Lepisosteus oculatus: one gene and its partners. The protein of the gene in region 1 interacts with the protein of each later gene in a biochemical or structural test. Links are inferred from orthologs where the notes say so. Each region holds a gene or a part of one and is shown in the gene's direction. Other genes may lie near its edges.

The links.
Region 2: the proteins of esr1 (region 1) and nuclear receptor subfamily 0 group B member 2 form a complex in vitro, tested with the Homo sapiens proteins (2 studies listed by BioGRID). The link is inferred for Lepisosteus oculatus from reciprocal best matches to the Homo sapiens genes ESR1 and NR0B2.
Region 3: the proteins of esr1 (region 1) and ncoa6 form a complex in vitro, tested with the Homo sapiens proteins (4 studies listed by BioGRID). The link is inferred for Lepisosteus oculatus from reciprocal best matches to the Homo sapiens genes ESR1 and NCOA6.
Region 4: the proteins of esr1 (region 1) and forkhead box protein O1-A form a complex in vitro, tested with the Homo sapiens proteins (2 studies listed by BioGRID). The link is inferred for Lepisosteus oculatus from reciprocal best matches to the Homo sapiens genes ESR1 and FOXO1.

Annotation. Positions count from the first base shown.
Region 1 is NC_090697.1:48,520,513-48,527,715, forward strand, and holds the start of esr1 (estrogen receptor), read left to right. Parts: upstream 1-4,194; 5' UTR 4,195-4,467; coding exon 4,468-4,922; intron 4,923-7,203.
Region 2 is NC_090706.1:7,320,354-7,327,470, forward strand, and holds nuclear receptor subfamily 0 group B member 2, read left to right. Parts: upstream 1-4,100; 5' UTR 4,101-4,590; coding exon 4,591-5,149; intron 5,150-6,061; coding exon 6,062-6,303; 3' UTR 6,304-6,774; downstream 6,775-7,117. UniProt on the Homo sapiens protein: Transcriptional regulator that acts as a negative regulator of receptor-dependent signaling pathways. Specifically inhibits transactivation of the nuclear receptor with which it interacts.
Region 3 is NC_090711.1:6,898,396-6,906,125, forward strand, and holds the start of ncoa6 (nuclear receptor coactivator 6), read left to right. Parts: upstream 1-4,727; 5' UTR 4,728-4,829; intron 4,830-7,003; 5' UTR 7,004-7,044; coding exon 7,045-7,276; intron 7,277-7,627; coding exon 7,628-7,730. Other genes in the region: glutathione hydrolase 7, read left to right, coding at 549-712. UniProt on the Homo sapiens protein: Nuclear receptor coactivator that directly binds nuclear receptors and stimulates the transcriptional activities in a hormone-dependent fashion. Coactivates expression in an agonist- and AF2-dependent manner.
Region 4 is NC_090700.1:16,813,343-16,820,350, forward strand, and holds the start of forkhead box protein O1-A, read left to right. Parts: upstream 1-4,002; 5' UTR 4,003-4,332; coding exon 4,333-4,899; intron 4,900-7,008. UniProt on the Homo sapiens protein: Transcription factor that is the main target of insulin signaling and regulates metabolic homeostasis in response to oxidative stress.

The DNA of each region.
Region 1 (7,203 bases):
AGGGTATCGACTTCAACCACATGGCTGGGTAGCTTGTTCCCTAAACCCACAACCCTTTGGGTAAGAAAATGCTACCTCTTTTCAATCATAAGAGTAATCTCACACAGTTTCCATTTTCCATTTGAGTCCTCTGGTTTACATTTCTCTGTTTTTATGAAGAACTCTTCTGGGATGAATTTGCCAATACATTTCAGGATTTTGAATACTGGTATCAGGTCTTCCCATAGTCCTCTCTGTTCAAGACTTTAAAGCCCAAGAATGAATTTAGTTGCTCTTTTCTCACTTCTAGTGTATTATGCGATTTTAAGATAACATCCCTTGATTAGATGCAATTAACTATCCTAAAATTCTATTTTTCCTTTTTTATTTCTTCCTCGAATTGTCTTGAGCATGTCATTTGTCAACATAAACACCTAAGTATTCTTCATATGTTATTTTTTTATTTACAGTTCATCATCATAAACAACCTCATCAGCCAGAAATGTTTGCCAGTCTTTTGATTTATCTATTTTTTAATACTACTATATTTAGTTATATACAAACTTCACTAGTTTGATAACTATAGGAGAATCTACACCAGTGATATAAATAAGGGAGAATAGCTTTCGTAGTACAGATCCTGTGGTACTCCACTGATTATATTACCCCAGTTTGAGCATTTGTCCCTTGTCTCTGTTTTCTATTAACAAATTCTCAGTTCAACCACACACATTTTCCTCAATGCCTACCACTTGTATTTTGAAAATTATCTTTTGTAAAGAAGTTAATCAAAAGCTTTTGAAACTCTAACAAAATGTTTTGTATAATCTGTGTGTTAGTGTGTATCAGTTATTGTTTTTTCTTGTTTAAAGAACTCTAACATGTAAGCTAAGCAAGACCTGCCTTTTCTAAATCCATCTTGATTATCCTTTAAGACCTTGTTCTCATAGAAGTTATCCTCTCGTTTAGTTCTAGTAATTGTTTCTATAACCTTACATTTAATAGTAGTCAGACATACTAGTCTATAATTAGTTGGTTCAGTTTTGACACTCTTTTTATTGAATGGGCACTACATTACCAATTCTCCAGTCTAACATCACTAACTTTCTCTGAAAGGACTTTTGGAAGAAGCTTATAATGGCATAGGGATAACATCTCTTGTTTCCTTGAGTACCGCTGGAGTTATTAATCTTGAGTGGTTAGAGCATTTTTGATATTAACTCTTCTTAATGAAGAACTTTGTCTTTCTGCTGCCCGAGGAATGTTGACTTCTTCCTCGTTTAGTACATAATTTCCTTTTGATTGCCTAGAAGTTCCATTATTTTCTCAGATACATTTTACTTAATCCTTTGGTTTTTGTGCTGGTGTAGTACTGAAAGAACCTTTTACTGAAAATGTTTCTTTCCATCTCTCTCATCAGCTCTTATATCCTTTTATATCTGGGCTTTCAATTCATTTTATTCCTTTTTTAAAGAGATTATCTTGTTTTTTAATCATTTGTGTCTTGGTTTATGATGAAATATACTCTTACAGTATATTTATTCTGTGCTTCAGGTGGAATCTGTTCAAACTGTTACTATCCATTCCATACCCATCCTGTTCTTACAGTACATACTAAGATGTGTCTCATTCTTTCCTGAAATTGTAAACTCTGTATTTCAGAGTAAATGTCAAATGTTAATTTCCTTTCATTTCCTAATGCCATTAGGTATGGTTTCCTCACCTCTGTTCACCTCATTCTGTTTGATAACACAAGATCAATATGAATGTTTTCTCTCGTCGGTGCTCCTACAAACTGAGTAATCAAGCAGTCATTAACTAAGTCTATTATTTCAGTTTCTCATATATAGATTTTTCCAATTTACATGGGAAAAGTTGAAGTCTCCCATTAAAATGTTCTTGATTTACAAATAAATTCTTAATTTCATTACACAATGTTGAATTATATTTACCATCTGGATTTTTTATATATATATTTATATATATTAATTTTATATATATATACCATCTGGTCAATAGCATAGTCTTAACACTACCCTGTTAGAATGTTTTTATGTGCCTGACACATAGATTTAGAGACCCTAGATTCCTCTTGGTTTAGTTCCTGAACTTGAATCCACTGTTTGAACAAATTCTTGCCATTTCCAAACAGCACACATAGGCAACTACCAGGGAATCTAAATACCCAAACACTCCTCTGGGTCTGTTTAATCTTCCACCCGTTACAATTTGTTTAACATTTCTTATGGTAAAACTTTTCCATTTACAGCAAACTAAAAAAAAAGTAAGAAATAAAAAAACACATACGGAAACTACACTTTTTACAAAAGGTAAAATGAGGTCATACAAATCGCATGTACAACACGCCTCTCATGTTTTTCCTGCTGTATGTAATCACTAAGTTCACTTTTATCTCCATCATTTTTGGCAAGCCACATATCTGCAGTTCCAATTACATCATAATTACCTGTTCATTTGGTCGCATCTGTCTCATGTATTTTTTCCAACACTGCTTACATTGACTGTATGTTCAAATATTTAATTGACTTATCCTTTGTTTTGTTTTTCCCTTTTGGTTCTGTAACCTCTCTGATATCTTCCTTGTGGATTTTATTGGCTTCTTACCCATTCTAGCCTCTTTAAAATGTTTATGACTTTCTTTTTTTGGTATACGTGCAAGAAATAATTAAAATATGTTCTCTTAAAAAGCAAGCCACATTAGTTGATTTCTGTGTTTCTGTGTTTATCTTTCTTGCTTTTTCTTGACAGTCAAGGTTAAATCATCTCATCTCCCTACCCATCTCTCACTAATGAGGTGATTAATTGCTTAATTAGGTGTTTATGTAACAGTCAAAGTCGTTCAAAAATATAGCAGTTGGTTATGACTGATAAATTAGTTAAAAATACCAAAAATACTTAAGGGTTGTGGGAGTATGGAACAAGCTACCGAGCTATGTTGCTGATGTCCATCCCCAGACTTCTTTCAAGAAATATCTGGATGAGATCCTTGCATTAATTAATTACTAACTACCAAATGAGTCAAATTGCACCCATTCATTTGTAACTTCTCACTTGCTCTAAATCAATATCTAACATTTTTAAATTGTATTTACAAATATGTGCAATTGAGTGATGTTATTTTTGATACTCAGTATATTTCATAGAATTACCACATTTTTAAATGTATTTTCTAAAACCGAATCTCAACAAGGATGAAACAATTAACAACAAATGCAAAAAGAGAGATAAAAAGTGCAGAAGAGCTTGCACACAAGAAAGTCTTACCTGCCACATTCAAGACCACAGTAGTGATGTCATGGTTTACTAAAATTAGAGAACCAAAATTAAAGTTACCTGGGAGTGTCCTGGTAATATTTAAAAGTATTAAGTGGGAATTCCTTTTAACAGCAAACTGAAAAAAGATAATTTAGTATTTGCTCAAGAGAGCACCCCTTGGTGCTGATAAAAAATACCTCATTAGTTGTGCTGAACCAAATCCTCATTCACCTGTTAACGAAGGTACCTTCCTCTGAGACTCATGAACCTGAATAACACATGGATTTCAGAGTATATTCTGTACTTTACAACAATTTTTATGTTTTGTTGCTTTACTGTTATTCCTGTGGCGACCATTGATGTCTTACAATTGCAAAGTGAATTTCAGATTTGTAGATTAATATTCTGCCCAGTAAATTGTATTTGTAATCTTTTAAAAATATTTGTAAAATCAGAAGCAGTAACCACTTGGACCACCACAGATGTGAAAAGCTGTTACCATGGCGTCATTAGTGCGTGGCAAACTCACTCCTCAGCACCAGGTTAAGCTGAGGAGTGAGTTTTGACTTCCAGGAGTTCGTGTTGAACGTAAACAGTGATTCCTAGACTCACTTGTGGCCTCCAGAAGGAACATAATCACCTTGAATCCCAGGTTGAATCCAGGCCATTTATGCTCCACATATTGTCCTTGTTGTATGATTTAGTAAAATATTCATGTAATACTTACCTCACTAAATTACGTGTGCCTGAAGTGATCATTTAAACCAATGCCAGTGTAATTCAGCCTTGACTGGCCTTATGCCAGTGTCATTGATATGAATCTATGCTGACATGGAGTAAAAAGTTACAATTGATTTATTTTCTTCTTCTTTTTGTGAAATATCTCACTCCAGGTTTCCTCGCTCACTCCACCTACCAGTTAAAAACTATAAAAAGGTTTGTGAATGTGTCGGAGGGGTTGGGGTGTAGGGGGAGGAAAATCTTTTCATAGCAACGAGAGCGCTCACACTCACACAGACACACGCTCACTCTCTCTCTCAGACGCACACATATAAGAAAACAAAAATGATCTCTGGCAGGCTCCGGCTGTGCACTCTGCTTTCGTCTTGTAAAGAGTGAGGAGGATCACGTTCTTCTGAAAGTGCTAGGTGGGAGCTGGGAGGAAAAGAAAAAAAGAAAACAAACCATGCTAATTATCTGTTTGCTCTGATCATGGCTAGGCCGCCTTACACCAAGCCCCCCGGATTAGTTCTGCTGCACAAGATCGAAACGAGAGAGCTGGAAGCATTCAGCAGCTCACCTGTCAAGCTGGCCCCAGAGAGAGCCTTGGGCGAGATGTACCTGGAGGACAACAGGAACAGCACAGCTGTCAACTACCTGGATGGCACCTATGAGTTCACCACGGCCCCCGCTGCCACCCCCATCTACAACCCCACCACCGTGAGCTACCACTCGGCACCTGTGGACACTCATGGCTCTGCCTCCGATGCCAATCTGCATTCCCTGGGCAGCGTGCCCACGAGCCCCCTGGTGTTTGTGCCTTCCAACCCTCGGCTTTCCCCTTTTGTCCATCACCCCCACCACCACAGCCAGCAATTGCCCTACTACCTGGAGAGTGACCAGGGCAGCTACAGGCTGAGGGAAGCTGCCACCACCCCTCTTTTCAGGTAAGCTGCCTTCGGTTTGTTTTTCAGCTTCCAGATCGCAGCTGCCCCTGTTCTGTATTCTCAAACTGCTCATGCTTTCAAACAACCAGATCCACCCTCAATGGGCGCTCCAGACAACTTTAAAGAAAAGTACGATTAGTTCAGTCGAGTCGTGTTTCACGTTCGAGCCGACTCCTGTAATTTGTTCTCTGGCTGTAAGGGTCAATAAAATCAGAAAGGGACTCAAGGGTGTCTGGGAACTAGTGTCAGTATTTGTCATGTAGGAACATGACGGGTTACAACAGGAGTAATACTCCAGTTCTTCACTGAGATTCGAGAGGATTTTGTTAAGAGCGCCAAAAAATTACAGAAGTAGTTTTGAAACAGGCAAGAGAACTAAGAGATAAAAAACAAACATCTAGTTAAAAGCCAAGAATTCAAATTATCAGTGTCTGCAGCAGTCTCAGTTCATAAAGGGAAGAAAAACATGACCATGAGTTCGTTTTGTATTTGTTGTTGCCTTCTAATATAAGTTTTTGAAGATTTATTATTTTAGCCGAATAGTCCCAGATGAGATTTGCTGTGGTCACTGTGAAGGAGTTTCCCACTCATATAATGAAACAGATTTTGAAATACTGGCTCCTTTGACAAATTGTTTTTTTAAGCTTCACACTGATGTCTGTCTCTTTCTTGTGGATTGTTTCATATAATCCAGGGAATTTGTATGATTACATCATTCTAAAGTTCAAGGATTAGTGCAGTGCAATTATACAGCCAGGAAGATAAATCAAGAATAAGTTTTGCTCATGTGCTCTAATTTTCCCTGGATATTATCAGAACACTGAACCTCACTCACAATCACGTTTAGATGCAGTAGTGTTTTAGTGTACTCTTTTTATGGATACCTTTATTTTATTTGGTATTAGTGACCTAAAAAGGAAAATATTAAAATAGTTCACTAATTTCTCACTAAGACTCAATAATTATTTGTGGTATTAAATCACTCTGGTAACAGGACTGTAAGGGAACCCAAGGCATGTTCTTTATCTGAGTTTTTTGCTTTAAAATAAATAGCACTTTCACATTAAGCATTACTGTAAAGGTTTCATTTTTTCCTAATAAATATGGCGAAAAACAATGTAATCTATAAGATTGCTAATTGCATGAACTTCTAACTACATAAAAGCTATAGTTTGCAAAAAACAACACAGCTCATTTTACTTTCAGCAATGCCACTTAAGGTAGCATGTGGTGTGCATCACTTGAATACTTCACAGCTGCTTCAATAGTTTATATAATCAGACATTCAACAAAAGATGTTGGATGCTTTAGCATTATTAGACGTGTACTGAATTTCAGTTCCAATTTGTACAGTATTATGAAACAAGAAAGTGGTCTAGAATCTGAAGAGATCTGCCTTTCGGTTAGGGTTAGGGTTAGGGTCTCTTCAGATTCTAAGGCCTAGTTTTATTAATAATAATAATAATTGCTTACACTTATATAGCGCTTTTCTGGACACTCCACTCAAAGAGCTTTACAGGTAATGGGGACTCCCCTCCACCACCACTGTGCATTTAACAAAAGATGTTGGATCATCCACCTGGATGATGCGACGGCAGCCCTAGTGCGCCAGAACACTCACCCCACATCAGCTATCAGTGGGGAGGAGAACAGAGTAATGAAGCCAATTCAGAGATGGGGATTATTAGGAGGCCATGATTGGTAAGGGCCAATGGGAATTTGGCCAGGACGCTGGGTTTACACCCCTACTCTTTTCGAGAAATGCCCTGGGATTTTTTTAATGACCACAGAGAATCAGGACCTTGGTTTTGTATCTCATCCGAAGGACGGCGGCTGTTTACAGTATAGTATCCCCGTCACTATACTGGGGCATTAGGACCCACATGGACCGCAGGGCGAGCGCCCCCTGCTGGCCCCACTAACACCTCTTCCCAGGAGGTCTCCCATCCAGGTACTGACCAGGCTCACACCTGCTTAGCTTCAGTGGGTTGCCAGTTGTGAGTTGCAGAGTGATATGGCTGCTGGCTTGCAGAGTGATATGTCCTTTTTTTCCCAGAAGGCAAACTGTGGACAAATAGCCACTCTAATTAATTTAACATGGAAAGAAATATTCGCACACAGTTTGCCTGAAAGGAAAAAAAGGACCTGCTTGCCTGGTTTAAAGGCACAGTGGCCTTGGTCACAACACAATTGAACAAAATTGTTCAATTCTTCCATACTTGTGGTACAGATATCAGCCTTTTATATTAAAACGCTGCCCGACCTATAAGATTTAGCTTTT
Region 2 (7,117 bases), on another chromosome or scaffold:
GAACAAATGACCATTTATAATGATGACCCATTTTAGAGGGCATTTATTGCAGTGTGCTGAGTGAAGTACCTTGCTCAAAGTTACAACAGCAACATCCAACCTGGAAGCAGTACCCATAACACTCTGGTTTACAGTCCAGAGCACTGCTACTCCATACTACTACCTGAATATTACATACAAGTTACTAAGTCATGGGTGGCACAGAGACTAGCATTGCTCTCTTGCAGTGTTGGAGCCCTGAATTCAATTCTGGGCCTGGAGTTCTTTCTGTGTGGAGTTTATTATGTGTTCTCCTGATGTTCTTATGAGTTTCCTCTCACAGTCCAAAAAACGTACTGGTAGGTTAACTGTAGGAAAACTGGCCCTGGTGTGAGTGTGTCTGTGTGTCTATCTTGTGATGGACTGCATCCTGTCCAGGGTGTATCCTGCCTTGAGCTCTTTGATTGCTGGGATAGACTCCTGCTCCCCCCTGTGATCCTCAACTGGAAGAAGTGGTTTCAGTATGTTGTTTCTGCTTGAAAATGCTGTTTCCAGTACTAAGAAACGTGCCTGGAAGTGATAAAGAAAGGTGAAGCAGCTTAAATATGAGGAATTGAGGTTGGTCAAATATGTTGACACACCTCGTCAATTATGGATGTGAATACTCTGTAGAAGCCCAGGAAATAATTGTTGTTGTTAACTACATTTTCTAATGGTTATGCAAGTTTTACTGAAATATGTCTTTTAATGTCTTGTAATACTGATTACATATTACATACTGTAAAACATATCTCTGATTACTCTCTGTCCTAAAAAATATTCATGGGAGAGGCATAATATATAGAGTATAGCTTGTTGTGGGACTGTAATTTAGCGATTCGATGATCTAGATGAAAGGAGGCTTGTCCTGTGAAGTTTGCAGTGCTGATGTTTTCAGTGCATTGTCCTGGCACTACTTACCAGTCAGCTGACAGTGAGACAGACCTGTTTATTCCGACGGTATGTTGCACAGTTAATCCAGTCAGTGTGCAGAGTCCTGTGATAACCTGGATGTCACTTGGTAAACAGGTCTGTGTGCTTTCTGCACTGAGGTTGGCTTCATTGATTTCTCCCACCTGTTTTGTATGAAGCACTGGTCAAAGTCCATGCTATATTTAGCACAAATCAGGCAGGCTTAAAGTTAGAAAGCATTCTGTTCAATTGCCTGCTTTCCACCAATGGACATTTGTGATATGTGCCTCCTAAAACTTCTTAATGTACCTGATAACATAGCCACATTAGCTTAAAATTATTATTCTAGGTAAAGGCATAAATAGAGTCACTACATCAGCAATAATATACTCACATTGAGTTAATAGAACTACCAAATAACTTCATATTTAATAAAATATAGAAAACAATTTTATGACAAGAGCCTCTCGTCTCCATCCAAGATGACTACTTCCCTATGCAGTAGCTGATTTTGTCACATATTGATATTCAATCCATTAATCTTCAAGATATCAGAGACGTATGCAACAAAAAACAATGGACCTAATGGTAAGCTACTGTGATGCATTCTGTAGTTGCCCACTTCATATTCTACTGTAAATGTACAGGTGTTTTTTCTTGATGACATGTTAGTTTATTCTGTCTTGGTAAAAGAAAGATATGCTGGTTAAGGTTGGAATGAAATCTTCACCAGATATACTGTACATATTAATAGCTGTAGTATTGGAGAGTTAGTTAATGCTCCTAAAAATAATATCATTGCGTGTGACCAATGTCAGAAAAATAAATGTATTTTTGTTCCCCAAAAGTAAAAAGTGACTCTAAGAAACAATGACCGTGGTAATGAGTTCTTGTGTTTTTTTTAATATGCTGTATTAAAAAATGTGCTGTATTTAATGTGCTGTAGTTGGACAACATCAGGATACAGAGAACAAAGTAATTACAGTAAAATCAATGTACACGAATGTTAGCAAGTGAATTTAAATATCCTTTTTTAAATGTTTTGGTTTTCAGAACAACATATCTGCATTTTCCCAGATGGAATGGAACACTGGTGAAAGGCCACTATGTTGCTGCAATTCCTGAGTTTTGTTCCTCCCCAATAAATCAATTGCCTTATCAGGAGAAGAGCTCTGTGCTAGGCACGACTGAGATTAAAAAAGGGATACTTTACTGCTTTGTCTCTGATTCAGAGCCTTCCTTCTGGGATGATGGCTGTTTGCATTAGCTCACTTTTATTGACTATACCATCAGGAAATGGTAATCTGATTATGAATGGCATTCAGTCAGGAGTGCCCAGCAGGAGAATTGGCGCCAGGAGTTGTGCGTTAATCCACAGGTGCAGCATTGTTGGAAAACCAAGGGAGGGGACAAGAGAATAATTCTTTATTTCTGTTGGTCTCACTCTTCACCAACTGAACCTCCTAAAACGTTCCGAAGACAGCAATGATTTTATGCCCAAAATGTGCATAATGTAATTGCATTAATAACTATGCTGAAAAGAGAAGAAAGAAAACACAACGTTTCGGCTGTGGAGCCTTCTTCGAGTGTCACACCCAAGTGAGGCTCCACAGTTGCAACGTTGTGTTTTCTTTCTTCTCTTTTCAGCGTGGAATAAACCTATCACTTGTTCCTTTGCAGCCTACGCATGGTGACGCAGCTGCCCACCTGAACTACTTCAATAACTGCTTCACACTCAACCTTGATGCAGTTTTTTTAATGGAGTTTTCATTTTTAAAATACAAAAGAAAAAGAATATACAAAAAGAAAGAAAGATCCCACACTAAGAGAAAATAGTAAGCAGGCCAATGTGCCATGTTTTTCAGACAAGAAAAATCATCTGAACGTGCTGTCTTAGTTCTTCAATTAGAAACAAGTAATCTGGCTGTAATCTAGTAACCTTACAGTACATCTTACAATAAGCCCGTTTCTCTGAACAAAAATCTAACAGTGGTTCTTTCAAGTGAAACCCATTCACCAAGACGTTTCACACCAAGGAAAATCTAAAATTCAACTGCTATGTAAGAATTGTGCTGTACTTCTCTTTCATTTTGAAAAAGACGCTCCGCTGGTTAGTACATCACACCAGTCAAGTGTGATTATTAATACAACACTCCTTAAAACTCCTTAGTGTATAAAGGTACGAGTTTTTAGAAAAACAAATTGCTTGGACTAGTTGAAACAGAATAATTCACCATTTATGAGTGTCAAAAAAGAAAATGTGAGGTCTCAGACTCAGTCAAGGGAAATGATGACGCAACCTTAATTTCTGCTGATTAGTTAAGCAGTTGAAAAATACAAATGACCTTCAGTTCAGTGTCTATTCCTGACCCAGATATAATATCTGCAAAATACAAGTCTATTAGTAATCAATGCCCTTTGTGGTTTGTATACTGGACTGCCTATACCAAGGTTCTGAACAGTTTATTTCACACATATATTGTACTGAATGTGTTGATATATGCTGTTCACAGAATGACTTGCATTGAACAGGGATGGAGGTACAAGCTTATTTTAAATTTAACAAGATGAATAAAAATAATGTATTTTATCAGATTAAAACGGGGGAGTTGTCAGTACCGAATATTATATAGTATAGCATTATTATTAACCTAATATAATTATTCTCATAACAAACTATATTTAGAATTTTCACTTCAGAATTTCCTGTTTTTCCTACAAAACACGTCGTTTGGTGTTCTATTATACAATTATAAATCCTTATAAATTTCTTACATGTTGTTAAGCTTTCAGAAGTAATCCATCTATCCATTTCAGGGTGATTCTTTTTCCTATTGATTTTTCTGTACATCACGAATATCTTGCATTTTCAACAGTATCACTTATGCATTGTAGCTCTTCAAAACGTCTACCTATCCCCTTGGGTTGAAGTCAATGGATGTGACGTCTCCTATTCTTGAAACCAAAATCTCTATCGCTCCGTATTTTATACTCGGAGGAAAACAGTTCCAGTTTTAAGTTCGTATTCAGCACCTTTTAAGGTTGCCGAAAAGGGTTTGAAATGAATAATTTCGCATCTGCGAGAGGCGATATACTACTCAAGGACGCATCAGACAGCTCTTTACATGCATAATATCTTAACTGTTTGTACTGGCTGGCTTCCAGCTCATTAGGTGTTAGCTGGCAGCGATAGTGGCCATATACTGTCTGCTTGATTACTCCCACAGTCCTTGGTAGCTTGGTACAGGCTGGGTTAATGGCTGAAGTAAATAAGATAAGTGACCTACTCCCAACCACCCCAACGTCGCCTTGTACCATCAACCCGCCGATCTTCATTGAGAAAACCTTATCTTCTCCACGTGGAGCGAACCTACCTGAGCCAAGCAGTCCAGGGTCATGTTGTTTTTCAGTGAGCAAATGTTATTCAGCTAGGGTCAAGGCTGGCTTGCTGTACCTTAGGGGGAAGCCTCTATAAATAGGTCTGGGACAGCAGAGCTGGAGACAGGCGTACGCACGGCGGACAGAGCTTTTCTGATCCAAAGCATTTAAGTAGCTGCGCGGCCAAGTGGTACAGCGCGCAAGGGCGATTTACAGGCTACCTGCGCGTTCACCGTACCAAATTCTTTTAAGCCTCGTTTAGTTGAAAAGATTAAGTAAACGATGTCTTGCCTCGAAGAGCCCAGCGACAGATGCCAGTGTTCCGGCTTCAGTGTTCGGCAGTCCAACGCCATCCTTTACAATATTCTGAGCCGCAAGGACAGCGACCACCTCGCCCACAGCTACATCACGTCTCCGCACAGCTGCCACTGCGAGATGCGGCGGACTGTTGGCCTCAAGAACCCGGACGAGACGTGCCAGGTAGCTTCCGGCGTGCTGGTCAAAACGATCCACTTCATGAAGAACCTGCCTTCCTTCTACCAGCTCCCACTCAAGGACCAGCTGGCTCTGCTGCAGAGCGGCTGGGCGCCGCTGTTCATCCTGGGGCTGGCGCAGGAAGGGGTGGCCTTCGACGTGACGGACACGCCGGCCGCCAGTTTGCTGAAGAGAATCCTGCTCAAGGACCAGGACCAGGACCAAACCCGGCTGGAGCACTCGGACAGGGCGCAGCCCACGCTGGACGCCGTACAGAAGCTGAAGTCTTGCGTCAATAAGTTCTGGAGCCTGGATATGAGTCCAAAAGAATACGCCTATTTGAAAGGAGCGATTCTTTTTAACCCCGGTAAGTATACTAGCGAATTATTATCACCGTGCTTATTGATCTTCTTGTACCAACGGGTTAAATAAAGTAATAAGTGTCAATTCCCGAATAGTTTTCTCACATAATTGTTGGTAGATGGATTAGTTAGTAAGGAATCCACACTAAGTATTTTAATTGGAATGTATGAGTGGATGAATGTCCTGCTTATTAATGTCTTTTAACGGACAAAATAGCTTGTTGACATGGCTTAAGAAAAGGCTGTTTCGAAAATTACACATTGATGGACATTGGCCCAAAGTTTCATCCTTCGTTTACTACTATAAATCTTCTGCCCAAAAGAGTCCCATTTCCCCCCCCCCAAAAAGGAAATTCTACCTAATTAGGTCTACAAGCCACATTCATTACTTGTCCACTGGGATAAAGTGCAGAATTAGCTAATTTCTCTTGAAGGGGGGAAAGTTAAAATAGGAAATAAAAAATGAGTATGGTAAAGTGGCACAGAATTACTTCGCAAGAATCGGACCAACGCGTTTGAAGTCGTTGTTTCCAAGCTGTCAAAAAGGCCACCGTTTCCTGAACACAATTCGTCAGGCAGCCCCCAGCGGGGAAAGTCTGTTATGAAGGGGTTTGTACCACATTTTCAAACTGCTGACACTGTGGGTATTACAGCACACGTCCGTAACGGGTGTTGGCATCATTTGCCATTACTTGGTCGCAAAAGGATAAACTACACATGTAAACCCTTCTGTTTCATACGTGTAGTAGTTAGGAGAAACACTTAATAGAGTTGATTGGTTTTCCCCCGCTTCGGGAGAGAGATTAGTGCGTTCTCGGTGGTATCTAACCAGCACAGTTTTGCAACCCCATAATTCGAATTAAGGCTGACTGCGTGTAGACGTTTAAAAACGCCTTCAATTCGGTTATTTTTTTCAGATGTCCCGGGCTTGAAAGCGTCTCTGTTCATCGAGAGCATGCAGCAGGAGGCCCAGAGAGCTCTTCGCGAGGTGCTGCTCCCTCTCCACCCGGGAGACCGCGGCCGCTTCGCCCGCATCCTCCTCACCGCCTCCGCGCTCAAGACCATCACGCCGAGCCTCATCACCGAGCTCTTTTTCAGACCTGTCATCGGCCAGGCGGACCTCTTAGAACTACTCGCCGAAATGCTTTTCGCCAGATAAACGAGGATACAGGAGCTCAGGTTGCTTAAACTCAACAACACCCGTCGCGGAGCCGCTGATTTGAGGGGACAGTGTTACAGAGAGCTTGGTGCACTCTACCTGGGAACACGCACGTCATGTCCTGCTATTAAAACTGTCATGTTATGGTCTAAAACTTGGGCAAAAAGGTCCGCTAAAATCATGCGAAGTGAGCAAAGAGACATTCTCGCCTTGCGAGTTTCAAACGGCGACGATACGCAGAAAATCGTTTGAGAGGAACAGCCTGGCTGTATTACAGAGGGGACTCACTACTCGATCATTTCGGTGTGTGAATTTGGCGTATCTCTCATACGCTGTGCCAAGCTTTCGATGTTATGATTTAGATATAGATCTTTCAGCTGAAAGGGCAAACCTGGTTTTGTTGGCTTAACAGAATCTTCTTGGAGAAAAACGTCACTTTATTGATCCGAATCACTATTTTATGTTTTTTTTTTTAAAAAACTCCTTTAACACGTCCGTAAAAAATCCGTGTGCATGAGTGTATGTGAATAAATTATATATTTTTTAAAAAAAGTTTCTGTAACACGTCATGAAAAACGTGTTTAATAAAAATGTGTTGATACCCCTTTGTCTTTTTATAGCGGCAAAAAAAAAAAAGTGAACACGGCCGATTCAAAAGAGTCGGATTGGAGAACCATACAAAATCTGGACTAAAGCGAAATTTGAATGAGCCCGAAAGAAAAATGCGATGACTTATCTGAACAACCTCTCTCTACCTGTCGAGGAATTCAATTTCCGCCGTGAACGGTCGTTTCGAATAAATCAAGGGTGGTGA
Region 3 (7,730 bases), on another chromosome or scaffold:
TCCTCTTTTTTGTTGTTGCTCGGAAAAGATAAGAGTGTGTTTTTAATTGGAATTTTGAAAAACTTTTTGCCACAGAGCTCTTAGGCCCTGGGTTCAGTTCTGGGCTGGGACGCCTTCTATGTGGGTTTTGTGTGTTCTCCCTGTGATTGTGGGAGTTTTCTGCAGCCATTTGTCTGACGTCTTTCCACCCTCGGTGGGCACAGTTTTTCTGTTAATTGTTGTCTCTAAATTAATCATTTCTCCTGGTGTGTGTCAGTGCCTTATAATTGAATGGCACCCATGTTGTGTGTAGTCCCATCTTGAGCCCTACATTTCTGGCATAGGATTGGGGTTGATGCCACCCTTACTTGAAGTGAGCAACTTTCTGATGCTGAAGTAATGGATGCTTATAACGCTTTTAAAGTTTGGGTTAACGCTGCAGTACAATTACTTGCTTGTAGGAAAACGTCAGGGCAGTATGGGCTGCAATGCCTGAGCACATCATAAAATATTTAAATGCCTTTCTGTGTGTATATCTCATACACTCCCTTTGTGGGTTTGTCTCCAAGGTGATTTCCCCGAAGAAGACGTGGAGTTGCTGCAGATTAAGGGACACAATGTCAAGAGGGTAGACGTCCTGTCAGTGGTCGAAGGCACCAGGAGGACGAATGACCTCATGATCGCCGTGAAGGATCCCCGAAATCTCGATGCTTCTGCCATTACCACCCCCTAAGGGGAGAGGGGGTCCGGTCACAGGCGGGGGGGAGCATGAAGTGTCAGCAAGTTTAGGGAGGGGCCAGCTGTTTCGCCTAATCCTGCAGACAGGTGCACGATTCGATATTTATTGTAGATTCTTGCCAGATTCACAGGGCATGTTGCACAGCAGTTTCACCGTTGCAGTCTTGTCTAGTCAGAAGCATTCACTTGCTACACTGTAAATACCACTGACCATCAATGCAGGCCAACCCCAAGAACTGACACGAACCCCCTTTCCTTCCACCCTGCCCTGTATCAAAAGAGGGGCGTCATGTGCTGCTGAGAATTTCCTGTCATCCGCCGTGCGCCCATCAGGTGTCCGTAATGATAGTGCGAAGCTTTATCTAAAGTGCATTTTTTGCTTTTCAGAATTCAGAAGGTCAATTTTTAAAATCTGTCCAAGAGGTTTTTTGATCGGGGCCGGACCTGTTGGAGATGGAAATTCACATGACTGAATCATGACATGCTTAAAACATCCGTCCCGCTACTGTTGTAATGTAATGTACTGCTTCATTTTGTGCCACTTACGGGATGATTTTGGCAAATTATCAGTAGAACAGAATGTAAGGTATCGTAGCTGACTGCCGGTAGAAATGTCCAGAAGGATGCTTTGAATGTACACTGTAAATGCAATATTTGAAGTGATGGTACAGTATGCTTAGGATGTCATTTTAGTACCTGAGAATGAAGTTTCATTTTTGCTAAAAGTTTGCAGACTGAAACAATAGGTATAAAAGCAGACTTTCATGGAAAGAGATGCAAACATTTGACAGGCTATGGTTTCATAACATTTGTATAATGAATGGAAAAACCCTAACTTTACACTGAACATTAGAAATGTCTGTAATGTTACATGGTTAGTTTTTTATGTATACACAATTAAAATAGGAAATCGGTTTTTCTTCTTCAAACTAGTAACTAGTAATTTTTACTTGAAGTCAGCTATGCAACAGGACTCCCTGATTATGTTAATAATTGCCACTAAGATCTGGAGATCAGTTAAGGTCAAGCCCTAAGTCTACCGCAGAAATTATCAATAATTTAGAAATATTAAGAAACTATTTATGCAGTTGGCAATTTAATTCTCCATCCCAGCCAGGTAACCAAGTCAAAGTGCCATAAAGGAGCTTGCATTACTGTACTGTTTTCACTGTAACACAGCATACTTTAATATCTTAATCTTTGACACACTAAAACTGTACTGTACATGGTTCAACTAGGAGCCATGACAGACTTACATTAACCTAGGAATTTGGATTTACTTTGCATTATACCCTCTGCTTAATTGGCACAGTAGAGTTCTAGTCAATAAATGCAGTGGGACATGAACTAGTGATATCACAAGTAATGTGTTTTGTAGTGATCACCCCTGTATTCGTTTTAATGTATGTTGTCAGAATCTGATATTATCACTCTGAGAATTATTATCTTAGATTTAATATAATTGTGGTATATACAGTTATTGTTGGGGGATAAGGGTAGTTCCTGGAGATTACACTTTATTTAGATCTCTTGTTTTTCAAACGTACAGTACTCCACTGAGATTACTGGCCCAGTTCAGCGATGGTTGCGACTATATGAAACACAGACACAATTTAATTTTGTTAAATTGAAGGAAGAAAGAGAAACCTTTTGGGCTACAAGTTAGATTAACAATAAGATTAACAGTTTGTACATTTGAAGGACATGCCATGCTTAGTCATACCGTTAGGACACAATGTTTCAATCATACCCAACAGGGACCATTACAGTACAAATTCCCTTTTTAGGCAGAAATCACAGGACAATTGTGAGAAATTAGATGTCTAGGACAACTTTCTGAATGCTCTGCTTATACACACAGCTTTTCACAGATCTGAAAAAGAGGTCATATTTGAATTTGTGTTAACAAGGTTCATCATGTCAATTAGCTGAACAGAGTTTATTCAGAAATCTCTGGATCAATTAAATCGATGGTTCTCTGCTGGTACCCTCTCATACGCTACTCCTGCTCTGAGCAGCTGTTGCTCTGCTCTGGCTGCTGTTGTTATCTGTAGCCCTAATACTGATCCAAAAAAGATTACATCCCATTTTGGATCAATCCCGTTCCTCATTTTGTTCATTCTGTAATGTTGCATTTGCATTACAAAACAGAACATCTTTTGTTATATCAAAATGTTAGTGCTGTTGTTTGCCCAGCCTGTTCTTCTGCACATTAGTCATGTGTATTTAGCAATCAGAAAGAAGCCAAGTTTAATGGAAGAAAAGGGACGACTGAATGAACTAGGTGTCAATGTACTGTATTTTATAACAGTACTCTTGTAGTGGAAGGCTACTAACCTTCAGTTCACAAAACTGGATGACGCTTTATTTTTTTAATAAAGCTGACACTTAAAAATGCCTTTTTGCCATAAAATAATGCTTAAAAGATTATGATGTTGCCAGCAGTCAATGTTCATTCATCTCATGTACAAGGTCTAACAGATTTTCTAATAAAACATGTCAAGACTGTGTGTTTTGTAGTATGTAGTTTTTTTTACCTACCTTAAGTTTGCCTTCTTCACAAGCATATGTTCTTACTTTTGAGCAATCTATACTCTAATTACAAACTAGCAGTGTGAAGAGTAATTACATATTTTACTGAAATTAACAAAACACTTAAGCAGGAAAAGCACAGTAATACTATCTAGAAATACTGTATTGTGTTACAAAATCACATCAACAATCCATTAACAGAAACGGAAGGCTATCTACAAACTGGCAGGTCTATAAACTGGACAGGACACTAGTTTATTGCAAGGTACAGACACACAGTGGCTCAAGTGGGTCATGGACAATTTAGGTACCCTCTTAAACTAGCCAGTGTGTCTTGGATGTTGGGAGAGAAATAGATAATTCACAAAAACCCATGGGTGTGATGCGAGACCAAGCTAACTCCACAGATAAGGTACCCAAGCTTTAGTTTTAGAATGAAACACAAAAACTGTGAGGCAAGGTCATTGTGGTTTTGTACGTAGTTATGATTTATACGCACTATATCATATAGTATATGCATTTATATGCGCTTTGGTTGATGTCGATGTTGGAATGCACAGGTGATGGGTTTAAAACAATTCTATATCAGGGCATATGCTGTGGCTAGTTTTTTTTATTTCCATTACTTTATCATGATTTACGTATTTGCCGAAAACCGGTTGTATAACTTGGTTTAAGTGGTTGTATACATGTGGGCAAAATAAGGCGTTATAAATCCGACTATGCCATTATTATAACCCATTACAGCAATAAGGACAATGTAAAGAGTGTCAGGAAATCATGCATTTCTTTAAACTAGTTTTACTGTATCAGGCCACGGTAAGAGAAGTGCGCTGATACTGCTGGAGGACGGAACATTTCTATTTTCTGTTCGGTCTGTGATTCTTTCGTGTGCTGCGAGTGATAAGAACGACAATTATTAGCATTAACAGCAAAGTGCAAAAAGAAATAAAGTCGTTTGCGTGCGCAAGACATTAATTTAACAAAATGTTGTTCTTGCTGCTCAACGCCAACACACACACACAGGCGAAGCGACAAAACATCACGGAAGTGTGAATTTACAAGGTAACGTCGGACGTGTTTTTATTAGGTAATAAATTATACAGTGTAGCAGCGAATAAAAAAAAAATGCAGAACTAAGTCGTACCCCCCTGTTCTGCTATAATAATAAATCCTTCACTACTAAAATCAATTATTGGTTCGATTTTTGTCAAAGAGAATTTCGGTTTACTGAGTTTCAGAGCAGCTCACAACCAATAGCTTCGTCCCTTGTTGCGGAGCTAACTTCTCCCCCTGTTCTCCTTAGCTCAGAGATCACCGCCATCGGCGGAAACTACGGCAAGCGAAAAGACAAATCTGCACGACGCCCTGAACGATTCGTTTACGCCAGTTGCGCAGCCTAACACTACACGCCTCATGCCAGGAAGCAGGAGGAGATTGATTTGTGAATAGGGCGAAAACGAGAAAAGGCTGTCTAGTGTCTGCCCACCCCCCCCCCCTCGCTTCGTGTTGTTGTCACGGCTGCCTGCTCCGTTTTTTTTTTGTTACCGAACAGGAGTTGATTCCAATGGAGTGATCAGGTAAGGATTAAAACCCAGCCTATGTGCTTGTTCTGCTTGGCTTAAAGAAAAAAGATTAAAAGGTGTAACTGCAATAAAGCGAGGGCGTTTTTACCGACTATGGCAGAGATTCAGATCTCCGGCTGCGGAGCCGGTGTATAGCCTGCACATCCATGGTGGCGGAAAACCAAACTCGGAGGGCCTGTGATGGTTGCGTTCATACATCGCAAATCTCGGGCGGAAAACGAAATCCGCTCCTTTCGGGTTCGAGTTCGCGTCTGTCGTACGGTTTTCGGTCTGAAGCGAGCAGGGGGGACGCCTTCGCGTCTCGGAAACCTGCAGGTTGAAACCAAAATGTCACCAAAAAGGGTTTTCTTCTGACTGCTGACGCGCATCGTTGGGATAACATCTCCACCGTAACCATCGCATGCATCTCCTCCAGACTGGTAGCCAACAGTGTGTGTGATGTTTGAAATGATGGAAATAAATTACTCGGCAAATGCAAAATATGCAGCATTTTGATATGGGTGCTATCATTCTTACAAACCATTATTTTAAGGTGTCAAAACCCTAACTTATATTTTTCCTGTCACGATCACAGCTTTTGTTTCTTTTTACTTGAACTCAAATTTATATTGAGATTTTTAAAGAAATGTATTTTCGTGAGAAATGGTTCCTGTATATGATCTTTTTAAGATGTACAATAATGCCGCTCTTGTATCTTGTACATAACTACAGTGCACAGACTGCTAAATGTTACTGAATTATCTTATAAGCTGCTCGGATTCGTTATAGTGGTTTAAATACGAATATACATGCATTTTCTGCATTCCTTGTTGGTCATATTACTGCCAAAGATAAACTGTTTTTGAGGAGGAATAATTACTCCTTCTGTTGACTCTATTATTAAATTATTAAATCCATGCAGGGTTTATTCATTTTTCCTAGACGTAAAGGTCGGTTTTGTCAGTTGCTGTCTGTCATGCTTTTGCGTTATCTGTTCAGTTTATTCTTGGAGGTCGAGATTGTGTGAATTCGTGTGTGGTGCTGGTATCTGGTATTTATTTTCTGCATGTAAAAATGCTGAAAAGAAAGGGGTTTATTATGAAACTCAGGTTTCTGAATACTCTTTCGCTTAGGTAGGCTGAATGACCATGGGGTACGATCATTTTATGCTCTTATTTTTATAGTTAATGTCACAAATTGTGTGGTCCAGCCCAGTCTCTTCTGTCAAAGAGCTGAGCTTCAGTTGGATTGCCTCTTTTGAAGGAAAATTGCATTGAACTTCTCTATAATCTGAAAAGTTGAAGAAACATTGTGCATTCTTCTTCAGTGATGGTGCTTCTTTGGAAGCTGTGATGGTGCATGTCTGTCATGTTTCCAACCGCTCATGAAGGCCGATATAGCAGCGTAGAAAGCACAGTGTTGACCCTTGTAATAAGATGTTTTATACAGAGAGGCCTAACCTTTTGTATTCAGAGCTGGGGAGGTGCCTTGTCCTATATTCAAAAATAAATTGAACAAAGTGATCAGGACTGGTGGCAAGACTACTTCCACAATCCTGGACTCAGTAATGGAGTGATATATTATTAATTTTGCACATAAAATCTGAGATGACCCCTCACCTCCACTCTTTTTAGAATATACCTTCCTATCCTCAGGGAGAAGGTATTGCATCTTCTGTATAAAGACTAAGAGATCACTTCTTTCCTTTATACCTAAAAGCGTTCAACTCTTCTATATTAAAATGTTTGTAGGTAGGGATCACATTAGTTTTGTTTTTGGATTTTTGTAAGAACATTTTTTGTTTTTTAACCCTTATGGTACTGGACGTTGAATGTGGTCCAAACACCAAACAACTTTGTTATTGTTGCTGCATTATATTGTGGTCGTATTTGTGTATGAGCTTTGTGATGTGCAAGACATCCCTTTAGGAGCAATAATTGTTCATTCAATTTAGAATGTTTATGAGAACATTAAAAATAGTTTTTTGTTCCTGAAATGTTTTTTTTTCCCATAGCTGATAAATGTAATTGAGATCTTAACAGTACTGGGCCCATTGTACAGCTCCTGTGAGCCGCACTGTGAGGTTGTCAGGTAGTCTGTTTTGACCTTTTTTTGTGCTGCACCTGATTGGCTGTTACTTGTGTGAACCTGAGCTCAAGCCCTTCCCACAATGCCTCTCGGTTCTGCAGGGTTGGTTTTGATCAAGCCTCGCTGCTCTACAGGAGGGGCAATGGCAGACTGGCAGGGCCGAGAGCCACCCTCAGCGTGGACAGCACCTGTGGGCGAACCAGACACGGGGCTGGACTCTGGGGTGGAGGATGACCATGACCTCTCACCCCGGCCCCGCTGCCAGGACAACAACTCCAACATCTTCATCGCCTTTAAGGGCAACATGGGTGATGAAGACTTCCAGGAGAACCTGCACAACTTCTTAGAAAGTATGCCAGGCATGCTGGAACTAGGTGAGCAACAACGCGATAGCATTGTGAGAATTAAAATACACTGTACCCACCACATTATGGATAAAAGCAAAGATTTGATCTCACTGGGAAAACGATATTGGATCACAATCTGTCTATGCTTTTATACAGAACCAAGTACAGAGGTAACAGTGGAAAGTTGTAATAGTGTGACTAGAGTAGTAGAATCCAGCATCAGGTATGGACATTTACATAAAACAAAACATCAGTGCAAACTCCTACTTTTCAGTGCCTTAACTGCGAATTCTGTCACTCACACCGGCCGCGGCTGGGCGTTGGCGGGGCTTCTTCGTGGTTTCCTCTCACCCGTCTTTCCCTCCTGTGCCCGGGCAGACTCGGAGCGGCTGCTGCCCCAGCGGCTGGAGCCCTGGAACAGCGTGCGCGTGACGTTCAACATCCCCCGGGACGCCGCCGACCGCCTGCGGCTGATCGCGCA
Region 4 (7,008 bases), on another chromosome or scaffold:
ACCAACAGCTGGATATAAATACTTTGACATTTTCAAAATTAATTTATCTTGAAACTTTCTTTGTTTGGTCTTGGAAAGAACTACCCGATGTTAATTTCAATTTCATTTCTGTTCTATTATTATCAGGCAGGAAGTGTTTTTTTTACTCCTTTTGAGGGTGTGTTTTTTAAGTGTTTAACAGTGGTTCTCAGCTTTGGTCCTCAAGAGCCACCAATCAATGGGTTTTCATGTGTCTATCAATCTGGAGGTGAAATGTGCTCTTTCTGAAAAAACCTTAACCATCTCATAAGGCATGACCTTGTCACCTCTAGTCTAGGCCTAGTGGAGGAGCAACCTGACAAAAATCTGATAGAAGTTGTACTTGGAAACATATCTGTGTCTTTCCTTGAATACAGAGATCTGATTAGGCACCACTGATAGGTGATAAAAAAGGTATTACTCTGGTTTAGGAAGCAAAATAATGTAATTGTCTCAGTGGAGCTGGTATATGGTTTTATTGGCAAACACTATTAAGGAATGTAGTCCTTCGGATGAGATATAAAACCGAGGGCCTGACTCTCTATGGTCATTAAAAGTTCCAGGGCGTTTCTCGAAAAGAGTAGGGGTGTAAACCCAGCATCCTGGCCAAATTTTCCTTTGGCTTTTACCAATCATGGCCTCCTAATAATCCCCATCTATTAACTGGCTTCATTACTCGGTTCTCCTCCCCACTAATAGCTCATGTGTGGTGAGTGTTCTGGCGCACTATGGCTGCCGTCACATAATCCAGGTGGATGCTGCACATTGGTGGTGGTGGAGGGGAGTCCCCATTACCTGTAAAGCGGGTTGAGTGGAGTGTCCAGAAAAGCGATTTATAAGTGTAAGCAAAGACTGACTTAATTATAATTACAGTCCTCCTCCTCTTTGCAACTAGACCTGATCACAACAAAGCCCAAAGACTTCCAGCCATTGGAATCACTTTTCCATCAGGTATTCAAGGTTGTGGGGGGGCCACAGCCTAACCCAGCAAGCAATGGGTGCAAGACGGGGCCAATTTTCTCAGAAGCTAATTAACGTACTATTACACTATTATAGTGAGAGCATACAAACTCCATGCCGGTAGCATGCCAAGAATGGAACCCAGGGCCTCAGTGCTGTCTGGCAACAATCTTAACAACTGTGCCACCATGCCCCTCTGCTAAGCAAATACCCTTTACTAATATAACATTTGTGATACCTTAATTGTAAATTACTGGTATAATTGAACTGTTCTTAATTGTCATTTTAATGACAGTCAGGTAGCTAGCTTGCTTTTCAATGATTCTTTCAAAACAGCAATTCACTCAAATGCTTCAGACACTGCTGTCACAAGGCCCTGAAAAACCAAAATCTTTTTGGCTGCCAGGAGCCACCATGGTTTACCACACCCAAACAAAGCAGTCCACCTTTTTTGAACTTTAATTTGCTGTTAACTCTTAATAACTGTCTCTTTCAGCCTGCACTGGGAAGCTGCACGCCATTTTAATTTTCATAGTTTACGGCTGGCTTTACACACATTTTTAGCATATTGAAAACAACCACGTTTAGCTCGCAAACATCGTGCAAGTTGTAAACTACAATAGGCTACAGTGGTCTACCACACCCGGACACACCCGGCCATAGATGTCCAGAAATTACGTTGCAACCTAATAACTATCTCTTTCCATCAGAGTAGACTGTCTATGAAGACTCTTTACTTCCAGCCACTAATAGCTTTTTTCCCCACAAAGAAAAATTAGTGACGAATCCTATGACTGCTTTGTCTGCAACACTCCTTATATTTCCAGTGTGACATAAGATGCCGTTTTATTCTGTTTAGGCAACTTGCTGCGTACGCACAACTCGAGCGCTCAACATCTTATTATCTGAGGGGCAGATACTAAATGCGTTACATTCCCGGTCATGGACATAATAATGCCTTTACTACCCGACAAGCAGGTGAACGTTGCCAAACTCCAGACAGAGAAAACGTATCAATTTAAAGATGTGAACGTTATTTTAATCCTGCTTTCGGGACGCTCTACACTTTAGAGCTGTGAAGCCTGAACTTTCCATGCGTCCTGAAATACCGCTGTTCAAGTCAGATGGTAACTTGTCAGTAGTGAAGATCAAACATACTCGTGCTCCAACGTTAGGTGGCAGAGGTGGCTCTATACGAAGATTTTTTTGCCTTAATCCCTTATTTGTTTTCCTTTTCTCTCCATTTGAACAATTTGGTCTCTAAATCGTGGTCGCCAGCTAAATGGCCGAGAACAGGTGCATTCCTACTGTAGTTTATTTTGCGGTATATGACAGTGTCATGTGGGAGACAATTGAATCTCTGCTTCTGTCTTGTCAAAGCGGGGGTTAGCTACTGTAACTTCCAGATAAATTTAACGGTTTAGGCACAGCAAGGTTTCCTTAAAAATAAACAGGCTACTATTAAACCATGGATTAGCAAATGCTACGCACACATTGGGACTCCGGGGACATATTGGGTGCAGATGTGGCTTGCACACAACGCTGGGATTTACAATACCAACAACGGTAATGATAATAGTGATTTATTTTTTGAAAAATGGAACACCTAAATTGGTATTAAGCTATATATAGTAACAATATAATATAGTAGCATAATTCAGTAACAAAAAAATGGAACGTCACCTAGAAAATGTATCAGTAACGCAATCCGCACCGTATGTTGGACATAGTTCTACTCCATTGGGATGATATTTAATTTTTCAGTGCTTCAAAACACGTTCAACACAACTATTGTCCCTACAGCACACAACGGTGTCAGAACTTCAGAGTCCTTACTGTACAGAATCCACTGTTTAAATAGGATTTTGTTCTGTCCTGCAATTCATTGACGAAAGATGCATTTAAAGTCAGATTTAGTTTTGCTGTAAAGTCAGGAACGTTCTCTCTAAAATGATGCACCGCTACCACAATTCATTAAGGCTTTCTTCTGGGATCTTAGATCACAGAATAGCGCACATTGCTAAAACACGGTTGCCTGCGTCCTCTAAAACTGTTATGACCAATTATCAAGCTGATCAATTGTATTAGTTAAGAAAAAGCATTAATTTCTCCGAATGATAGCCAGGCCGACTAAAATGTACGGGAGATAACCTTTGTGATATGTAATGTTTCTACCGTGGCTCCTGATGGCATGCACCTCTAAATGGTAATGAATCAAAGCACCAATGCAGCGAGTTTCAATAGTTTTAAATAACCATCTGCTTAAATGCAAGAACTAATCTCCATATCTAACAAAGTTTTCTAGAACTACTTTGTCTGTACTATTAAATATTTGATTAAAAAATCAAATATTTAATAGTACAATTTGGCGTTTAGCAACAAAACCCCGTTGTGCGTTATTATAGAACAGATTGCACTGGACAATCTGAAGGGTAGAATAATTTATTATTCTGAGAAAAATAAACTGATGCACAGAATTCTATCAAATGCGCAATTCTAAATCACTTGAGGATATATTTTTATCTCTGCAATAAATGCTAACAACTAGTAAAATGTTTTTTTGTTGTTGTTGTTTATTGCATGCGGGGTATAATGTGACCTTAAAAAAGCTGAAGGAAAAATTTAAGAAAGGAAGTTGAGTGACGGAATAGATCAACAATAAACAAGTTCGTTAATTAAACAGACATAAACAATAAAATGACAGCTGTCAAAACCCCCCACCCCCCGAGTTCTAAAATCTTAACTCATAACTTTCTGATGATTTTGCAAAGCGCTGGAAATAGGAGGCCGCGCAGAATAACAAGCGATACCAGCGAAACCGACCCCGCAATTTTCCGTGTTTTACGGCTACATGTCATTAACCAAAACAAAGTTATTGGAAAAAAGGAGGAAATATTTGGCCGTAAAAAGAAAAAAAAAGTGAGCGTTTCGCTTGTTGATGCTCACTGGGCATTGGCTGCCGCCCGGTGTCACTCAGGAGGTGGGCGGCATCAGCTGACTCCCTGGGTAGTTCCAGTAAGTCCGCTGCGCCAGTCTAGCAGAGCAACATTCAACAAGCAACAACTGGGGGTGACAGACATGGTACGAATACGATCTTCTTAAGCCTGGATTTTAAAACAGCCGAAACAAAACTTGTCAAGACCAACGACAGAAAAGGGAGCCTTCATCAGACCTTTAAAAGCTCTTTTCCAGCGTTGTCTCATCTCTATGACTCGCTTCGGCTCCGTTTTGTGACTTTTATATGTAGAAGTTTGTGAAGTGACGAAGTTTTTTTTTGCCTCTTTTTTTTCTCATCCTGCTTGTGTGCCTTAGCGTAGGTCTATGTGAGAGTGGGATAATACTTTTCCTGGTATTATGGCTGAAGCTCCGCAGCAACAAGTGGTGGAGTTTGATCCGGATTTCGAGCCATTGTCACGGCCCCGGTCGTGCACCTGGCCGCTGCCCCGACCCGAGTTTATTAATCCTACCAACTCTAACAATTCGTCGCCGGCGCCTTCTGTCAAACAAGAGCCCGGCGGCAATGTGGACTTCATCAACAACCTGAGCTTGCTGGAGGAGACTGAAGACTACCCCGAGCAGAAGCCGCTCGTTTTGTGTAATGATTTTCAGTGCCAGGAGAATTGCATCCACCAGCAGCCCCAGCAACAACATCAGCACCCGGGCCAGCAGCTCTCGCACCAACAGGTGCCCCCCTTGTCTTCGCCGGCTGGCTCAGCCTCCTCGGTAGCCGCTGCTCAGAGGAAGAGCAGTTCCTCCAGACGAAATGCATGGGGAAATATGTCTTACGCCGACCTGATCACCAAGGCCATCGAGAGCTCCCCCGAGAAGAGGCTCACCTTGTCGCAGATCTACGACTGGATGGTAAAGAGCGTTCCCTATTTCAAGGACAAGGGCGACAGCAACAGCTCCGCCGGTTGGAAGGTAAGAAGAGCAGGCAGAGAGTGCACTGTAAGCCTCTGTGCACCTTCCGAAAGACTGCTTATAACTAGAGAACACAAAGTATTTTCCTACGATGGTCAGCATTATTAGCATTGCTATTGATATTGTTATTAAACTGCTCACAGAGTCTACTTCCTCTGGTACTTTATACTGTTGCAACTGCAAAGATAACATCCAGATATTATTACACAACACATGTATGAAGAGATGCACCAGCACAACACCGATGAAAAGTCTTCTGCGTGAGGTAATTAGGCTACACAGATTTGTCTGCTTTCATTGTTTACAAACATGCTCACACGCAGCGTGGGCCAGGGAAAACTGGCAATTTAACTCGATGACTTGTGGTTTTCCCCAGGTCGATAGCGTTGTTGTGTTTTTTTTATTTTTGCAAGTACAGTAGGATTACGTCCTCTAAATCCAACTTGAGTGTGAAATTCCAAAAGGATAATCTTGAAAGAAAGTTCACGCTAACCCAGAGTCATGTGTGGATGGGTAATGTAAAACTCGTGAATAGCGCCAATCAGATTGCTTAGTGAGTTAATGAGAGTTAAGTGCGGGTGTGAGGGGGTGTTGTTTCTCGAAGAAAATGCGTGTAGCAGGAGCAACGAAAGCACGACCTGTGCCACAGTTAGTGAAAACGTTGGGGGCACGACCATTATGTGCTCATACTATGAAAACACACTCCGAGCGTTAGTTTGCAAATTCGGTGTTTTTTTTCTTTGAACTTTTATGCAATACACTTACCCTGTTTTCTCCTGTTTTTTTTGTATTAACAATTACAATCGAGGGCAGAAATAATCGCCGTGTTATTTTTAAAATAAATTAAGAAAATAAATTTTAAGCGGTTCTGTTGTTGGGTTGGGGGTATTCGTGATATACTCATGATTACAATACCTTGAGGACTAGCCAACTAGCAGCAACTGGAAATTCAGACTGAAGAGCTAACACATTTTTCCTCTTCGGACGCAGGAGCAATCCATACTGCTGCTTTTCTAATATTCTGCATGCGAAGTAGCACTTAAAATGATTGTAATTATCTACCGACTCTAAACTAAAGTATTAAAAAGTCAATTACTTTTTATGACTTTATAATGGGTTTACCGCATAATGATAGGGTATTAGACAGTTGTTCATATCGGAAAATAGAACTGTCTGCCTCTCTAACTTGAAATCGATTAGGAAGATAATGGGCATGTTAAAAAGAACCAAATTACTTGCTTCTGTCTGATCATGCCTGTAGACAATTGAAATCACAGCGTTTTGAAGATCTTATTTGCGGTTATTTTACTGTGTAGCTAGATCTTGTAAGGGATTCGTGCTGTGCAGCAGTGCAGTATTCCTGGTAAGGTTCCTGCTCGTCTTTTAGAGCTTTTCTGCTCTCGGAGAATGACTCGTAAAATCACCTTCACAGCAATCTTAGATGTTTACATATATTATTTAACAATAGCGTCACATACTTTAGAAAACACAAAGGGTTGTTATTGAAGTTTAATGGCGAGGCACAGCAGAAAACTAACATTATGAAAATTGAATATTCTTGTTTATCATAAACCTAATCTAACTTCTTCGTAACATTTTTTAAAAGTATTTGTTCATATTGATAGTTAAGAGTTACTGAAGCGGGAATTAGCAGTTTATAAGGGGAGACGGATGTCACAGTGAATAGGCAGAAACATTGAACAGCTCTCAGCTGCTGTCTGTGGTTTTATTGAGCGTTAGTGTAAGGGCTTTCTTTGCGCTCAAGTTTATTAAAAATGCTGTTCGGCCCTGCTCTGTTGAATGGGTGTTTCATATTGCTGTATGCACATACTCTCACATACATACAATTGTACTTCGGCTGGCCTCTATCGGTAGGTATTCGAAGCGGAACAACACTTTTGGCAAATATAAGACAACTCCAGGCAGTGCTTTCCGAGACAAAGGTTAAATGAGGTGAGAGGCTGTTTCTTTCAGGGAAAGATACATGAAATGAACGGCGCCTGACGATATTAGTGCGGTTTGTGACTAATCGTTCTAGGTGGCAAAAGCGTTTTAATGCCTGACTTTAACATAACGACTGCGATCATCTTACAAAATTGTGTTTAAGGT